Kluyveromyces lactis: one gene and its partner. The protein of the gene in region 2 purifies or fractionates together with the protein of the main gene of each other region. This does not show direct contact. Links are inferred from orthologs where the notes say so. Each region holds a gene or a part of one and is shown on either strand. Other genes may lie near its edges.

Evidence for each region. Proteins that work in one complex are often made in the same cells at the same time.
Region 1: the proteins of KLLA0_A02761g (region 2) and PAB1 purify together in Saccharomyces cerevisiae (affinity purification with mass spectrometry; 3 studies listed by BioGRID). This does not show direct contact. The link is inferred for Kluyveromyces lactis from reciprocal best matches to the Saccharomyces cerevisiae genes YGR054W and PAB1.

What each region holds. Positions count from the first base shown.
Region 1 is NC_006039.1:1,551,849-1,555,600, reverse strand, and holds PAB1 (polyadenylate-binding protein), read right to left. Parts: upstream 2,280-3,752; coding exon 501-2,279; downstream 1-500. Other genes in the region: chromatin-remodeling ATPase CHD1, read right to left, coding at 3,134-3,752. UniProt on the Saccharomyces cerevisiae protein: Binds the poly(A) tail of mRNA. Appears to be an important mediator of the multiple roles of the poly(A) tail in mRNA biogenesis, stability and translation.
Region 2 is NC_006037.1:246,657-250,128, forward strand, and holds KLLA0_A02761g (translation initiation factor 2A), read left to right. Parts: upstream 1-1,214; coding exon 1,215-2,972; downstream 2,973-3,472. Other genes in the region: MCO32 (Mco32p), read right to left, coding at 1-599. UniProt on the Saccharomyces cerevisiae protein: Functions in the early steps of protein synthesis of a small number of specific mRNAs. Acts by directing the binding of methionyl-tRNAi to 40S ribosomal subunits.

The DNA.
Region 1 (3,752 bases), on a different chromosome or scaffold from region 2:
TCTTCATTAAAAAGACTACTAATGTCCTCCCATTAGAGCTTTAGTATTATATAAAACGGGTAGAGTAACAATAATAGTTAGATAGAAAAAATCAGTAAGAAAAAATTTGAAGAGAAAAATGGGGCATACCTCCGGATTGAATTAGCGGTATGGAGAAAGGGTAGAGTGATGTGATGGATTGTGGTAATATGGTATATGTGGAGCGTGGTAATTTTTTTTATTGGTAAAGATTAAAAGCACAACATTTTTGGCAACAATGGAAAGCCTGTGATGAACAAAAAAAAAAAAAGCGAGAGAAAAAGAAGAGTGGCAGAAAGTAGTTTATTTCGACTAGTTTAGGTCTATAACAATGCGTAAGCTAATTAGCACCACCCAGTTCCAATGCGTGAAGCTGAGACTATTCATATAGTTAGCTGTTCGTTTTTTTTTTTAATTTTTCTTTTTCTTCGGGGGAAAGATATAGAAAGGACAAGATGAAGATCAAGGTCAAAAAATCAAGTTTAAGCTTGAGCTTCTTGTTCCTTCTTGAAGTTTTCGTAAGCAGCTAAGGCTTCTTGGAATTGCTGTTCAAATTGTTCGTCGTTGTCCAACAATTGGATGACTTGCTGTGGTGGTAGATCCAAGATCATACCGGTGATCTTACCAGCGGCGTTTTCGTCGTCAATCTTGGCACTGACCTTCTTGTACAATTGTTCACCCAAGGCTTGTCTTTGCTTTTGTTGTTGGATGTAGTGTTGTTGTTGGTGTCTTGGGAATTGGTTTTGAGGTGGCATACCTTGGTACATTGGACCGTTTGGTCTACCAGCAAATTGTTGTGGTGGTGGGACCATACCGTTCTTTGGAATACCGGCACCCATTGGGCCGTTCATACCTGGGTTTGGACCTGGGAAACCTCTTGGGGCCATAACACCATAGAACATTTGTGGCATGTATTGGCCTGGCATACCAGCAGCAGCGGCAGCAGCTTGTTGTTGTTGCTGTTGTTGGAATCTGATTTGGTTTCTGGCTTGAATTTGTTGAGCCAATTGGGATCTTCTGACATCCTTTCTTTGAGCAATGGCAACGTACAATGGCTTACCGGCAACAATTTGTTGGTTCTTTTCGGTCATAGCCTTGGTAGCTTCTTCTGGAGAAGAGAAACAAACGAAACCGAAACCCTTAGAGTTACCCTCTTGGTCTCTCATGACTCTAGCAGAGGTGATGGTACCGTATGGGGCGAATTCTTCCTTCAATTTTTCGTCATCGATGGAATCGTCCAAGTTCTTGATGAACAAGTTAACACCTTGGAACTTAGCCAATTTTTCCAAACGGTATTGTTCGTATTGTTTCTTCAATTCTTCAGCACGTTCGTACTTCTTTTGAGCTCTGCCAACGTACAAAGCTTGAGACTTGAATTCCTTACCGTTCAACTCTTCAACGGCCTTGGCAGCGGCGTTGTGGTCAACAAAGTTAACGAAACCGAAACCCTTTGGCTTACCCTCAGCATCCTTTTCCAAAGCAGCAGAGACAATTTCACCGTATTGGGAGAACAACTGTTCGAACTCTTCGTCAGTGGTTTCAACGTCAATGTTCTTGACGTAAATGTTGGTGAAGTTAGCCTTGGCTTCTTCCAACTTGGAGATACGGTCCTTCTTTGGAACGTGCATGGCAACGTAAACTTCCAAACCGTTCATCAACATACCGTTGACGGCTTCAATAGCATCCTTAGCATCGGATTCTTCCTTGAAATGAACGAAACCGAAGCCTCTAGAGTTTCCATTCTCATCTAAAGCAACTTTACAAGACAAGACTTCACCGAAAGTGGAGAAAGTTTCATGCAAAGCCTTGTTGTCAATGGCTGGGTGCAAGTTCTTGATGAAAATGTTACCAGAACCCTTCTTTCTGATAGCTGGGTCACGTTCGGACCACATAATTCTACATGGTCTACCGTTGATTTCAGCATAGTTCAATTCTTGAATAGCTTTCTTACCAGCTTCGTAATCAGTATAGTTAACGTAAGCGTAACCTAACGAAGCCTTGGTGACGGCATCACGACAAACACGGATCGAGGAAATTGGACCCAATGGTGAAAACACATCGTACAACAATGCTTCAGTAATGTTTGGATCCAATTCACCAACGTACAATGAAGCGTTGTTGTTTTCAACCTTAGAAACAGAAGAAGCTTCGCTTTCAGAAGCAGAAGTGGATGGAGCACTGGCAGATTGAGCTGGTTGCTGATCATCGTTGATCTGCAAGTTTTCCAATTGCTCAGCAGTTTTTTCAGTAATATCAGACATTATGAGATGAGATGAGATGAGATAAATTTAACCGAAAAAGATGGCGGTTGGTTGGTTTTGTAATGTGTTTTTAAAATATATGTTTTTTTATGGTTTTTTAATGTGTATTTTAGTGTATTGTTTTGTTTAATACCCACACAGTTGCGAACCTTTGATGAAACTATTAAGTTTTGATTTAACGATGGATGGAAATGAAAAACCCTTAGTTAACTTGAATTCAAAAAGACTTCTAACTGGAATGTTTTGACTAATATTAAAAAGATATAAACCACGCTTATTCTTTTCTTTTACCAAAAACAATTAAAATACAGGATACAGATGATACCTTTAGAGAGTTTGCTGACTTTGACCGTGGTCTTTTTAAACAAACAAATTGCACAAAATAAAATGTTACAATAACTGAACCAGAAAGGTAATACAAATAAGTAACAAACGAAACAGTATAAACTAACCAAGATAACTAAAAACTTATAACAAATTAAATAAATGAAACAACATCACAAGAACTTATTTAAAATCGTTATATAATTCATCCATCTCTGTGAGAACAGTCCTTAATTGTTGTGATGAGTTAGCCAAAAAGTGAAAATTTTCATTGAAAAATTTAAAGAGTTGAAAAAGAGTTTAAAGCTTTTCCACAAAAGGAAAGGTAGGTACGTGCGAAATGATCTGAGGCATCACCACAACAAACCAGGTATTTTACTAGCAGCCGGCTGTTTCTGGTGCGCCCTTGTGCCTCATGTCATTTATGAAGGTAATAATAACTAATAGCAATATGTTGTTGATTAGATATCTTTTTTTTTTTCGTAAATTGATAGGCGTATATATCTCTATGTTTTGTTACATTTGACTAATTAATGTTCAGAGGCTTTGATTTTGTCGTACATCGCCAGGAGTTTGGAAGATGGGACATCTCTTGGCCAGTAATATGCAGTGAAAGACCATAAATGTCTTTTATATTTTTCTGGAGAGGTCTTAGACGAGTCCTTCTTGTGCGATTCGATGTAGTCACCAACACGTTTCAATTCCTTCTTCAATAGGTTAGCCCATTGCTTACGTTCAAGACCGTCTCCTCCAGATCTTAGACGTTTGAGTGAGCTACGGACGTTTGTCATCGTTTTCTTACACTCTTCTTCGTCCATACTGTCGTATTCTTTGTCAGGAAGACGGATATCGGCTTTTGGTGCCAACGGTATGTCTTTACCTTTCCTCTGCTGTTTTTTCGATCCGACGACAGGCGTACCAGATCTTGATGATGGTTGTTGATGGTGATGGGCCTTGCCACGCTTTGTTTCGGAGCTATTGTCTGGTGTAGAGTCCTTGCCGGTTAAGTTAACACTATTGCCGTCACTTGGGGTACCAGCGGTATGGGCATTTTCGTTCCCATTGCTGTTCCCAGCAGTAGTAGCAGACTTCTTTGGTTTACGTTTGTTTTGCTGAGGCGTCGTGGTTCCGGTTGACGAAGAGCCGGCA
Region 2 (3,472 bases):
CATGTCTTGAAGTAGGCGATTGCACCATTTTGAACCTTTGAACTAAAATCTATCTTTTTATCTTTTTCGATTATTTCGACATCATCTATTAGATGACTCGTAATCTTATCACAGTTCTCATTCAAACCAAAGATAAAGATCCCTGAAATTTTCGTCTCTGACTCAGCTTTCTTGATACTCCCTAGATTATCTGCAGCCAAGGGATGGGTTTCCCATCTCATAATTACTTCATGCTTCTCAACGTCAAGGCTTTTAATACGTACCCTGTTTTCAACTGAGAATGCAAAAGTGTTCAATAAGAACCGTATGCTATTCCAGACAGCATAATACTTCGTTATTCCGGAGAAGCTTGGCAAGTACGGATGGGTAATAGGCATAATCTTCAACTCTATGTCTTTGCTTAGTCTCGGTTCATGTAAAGAAGTTTGTAGAAGATGTGGGACATTTGACTGCAAGTATGTTATCGTACATCCCAAATTCACACGACGGATATTTTCAGTACTCATCTTTCCATTGTTACCAATATCAGCACACCCAGAGGTCCCACTGTACCGCCGCACAGACCGCAGAAATCCTAATCTTCTTATTGTTGTGCTCATCGATATAATAATTAAACTAATGGACAAATCTCGTAAATTTTATCGTTAAACGCATGCAAATTAAATCTTAAGCTATTACGGTAAGGTGTTATTCTATCAGTACCCAAAACTTTCAATATATTAGGCAAATATTAACTATGTTAACCCAATGTCTAATGTACCATTCGGATCTATTACATTTGCTTTAAGCAGATTTGATCATCACGATATTTATCCCCATGCCAAATGTTGAGAAAAGTCTCGTTACCCTGACATACACATGTCATATCAATTTTTTTTTTTCGCTTCTTCCTCTTCGAACTTTTCAACTTGAAGGCTTTCTTTCACTCTAAAGATATAATCATCGATATCTAATTGTTTCGATAGTGTTTGCGTTTGGTTGGAGATAAATAGGTGTGCAAGGCCTGCTATTTCGCTAATTTGGCGCAAATTATTACTTAAGTCATTAAGCCATCCATTAATTTTTAAGAGAGCTTCAATTGATTGAGAAAACTATTAAAAAAGTGCCTCTCACATCATTCATTCATTCTTTGGTTTAGAGATCTATTTAAATCAATCTTAAGCATTTTAGCAACCAAGGCGAGAAAGACTCAATAAGTTACATAGGTTTGGCTCATGTCGTTCCAGTTGTTTGCTAAGACTAACTCCACCGTGGAAGTCTTCCAAGGATACCCATCATTTGAGGAGATTTCCTCATCTAAGAGCGGAAACGATGGTACTGAAGGTAAAGTGATTCAATCTCTTTTGTCTCCATGCGGTAGATTCATGGCTAAATCGTACGAGAGTAAAGTTGTACTGTTAATCGGTGAAACCTGGGAAATCACATTGGTGGAATTACCGTTAAAGAACGTTTATGACCTAAAATTTTCTCCAAGTGGGAACTTTTTGTCTACTTGGGAAAGACCTTTAGTAGACGACACAGAACACCTAAATTGTAAGATTTGGAACTTGAATGAGTCACCATTGTCTACAGAACCAAAATACAGTTATAAAGCATCGACCCAAAGTTCTTGGACTTTACAATTCTCTAAGTTGGATGACTATGCCATCAAGTCATTTGGTAAGGAACTTCGCATCATCAAGTTAAGTGGTGAAGACACATTCAAGTTTGACAAGCCATTTGCCACTTTGACTCCAGACCAACCATTCACCACCTATCAAATATCTCCGGCTGAACATCCAACTATTTGCACGTTCACAAAGGAAAAGTCAGGAAAACCTGCACAATTAACCATTTGGCCCATTACCACTGGTAAGATTACCAAACAAATTGTCACCAAACAATTTTTCAAAGCAGATTCATGCCATTTAAAATGGAGTGATTTAGGTAATGCCATATTATGCCTAACCACCACTGATTTCGATCATTCTAATAAGTCCTACTACGGTGAAAATAACCTGTACTTATTGTCATTCCAAGGTGTCAATGGTGCATTGGGTGGCGAATCAGTCCGTGTATCCCTTGGTAAAGAAGGACCAATTCATGATTTCAACTGGTCTCCAACTTCGAGACAATTTGGTGTCATTTACGGATTCATGCCAGCCACTATCACATTCTTTGATCTTAAGGGCAACGCCATCCATTCTTTAAACGAACAAAGGAAAAACACATTAGAATTTTCGCCAAATGGTAAATACATCCTTGTTGGTGGTTTCGGTAACTTGCAAGGCTCTGTGGATATTTTGGATAGACATGATAAATTTAGATGCATCAGTAAATTTAGCGCTACAAACACTTCTGTCTGCAAATGGTCTCCAGGCGGCGAGTTCATCTTAACAGCAACCACTTCTCCAAGATTGAGAGTGGACAATGGATTGAAAATCTGGCATTATTCTGGTACCTTGGTGTTCGTTAAAGAATACAAAGAGCTTTTGAAAGTGGATTGGAGAACGAATTGTCCTTTCAGAATAATCAAGGATGGGTATGTTACCAACGGTAACAAATTGAAGGACGAGGAATTGAAACAAGATCCAAAGATTAGAAAGCATCAGCTAGAAATACATCCAGTGGTCACTCAGTTCAACTTGAAGAACCCAAACAAGTCATCAACTAATTTAGGCGCCAAGAAAACCACTGGAGCCTACAAACCCCCACATGCTAGAAAAGCAACTGTAGTACCTGGAACCACTAAAACTAGAGCACCACAATCAACTCCAACGCCGCCCCTTCAACAATCTGCTGCAAGTCAAACTTCACCAGAAGAAAAGAAAATCAGATCTTTGTTGAAGAAATTAAGAGCCATTGAGTCACTCAAAGTAAAACAAACCGAAGGTGTCAAGTTAGAAAACACCCAGGTCACAAAAATCCAATCAGAACCTAAGATCTTAAAAGAGTTGGAATTACTTGGTTGGAAGGGAGAGTTAGATTCATGAGAGAAAATACCAGAACCCCATGAAAATATTATCTCCGGATCCATTAAAATATACACCTACATTCTCATTTATTACAAGTTGGATGTATTGGAATATAACCTACATATCAGAGATATAACAAAGCCACGATAGTTAATAAAGCACTGTCAACCCTTTCATAATCATTTATAGTAACGCCTTTTACTTTATTAGACATGCACGCCATTCGGACAAAAAAAGTTTGAAATTCAACCAAAAAGAATGGTCGCGCCCGGATTCGAACCGGGGTTAATGGAATATTCGGGACTTGTACTTCTCTCGAAGCAACTTCTCAGAATCCACGGTGATAACCTCTACACTACGCAACCGTCAACTTATTCCATCCGGTGATTTGAAAAGACCATCAGGGGCAATTGTTGCCAAAGAACATCACTGTCTTGGGAATTATTCTCCATACGTGAAAGCGTGCCCCATGCTATGTGGCTTCTCCATTCAGGCACCTATTTCGACAAATGATACTA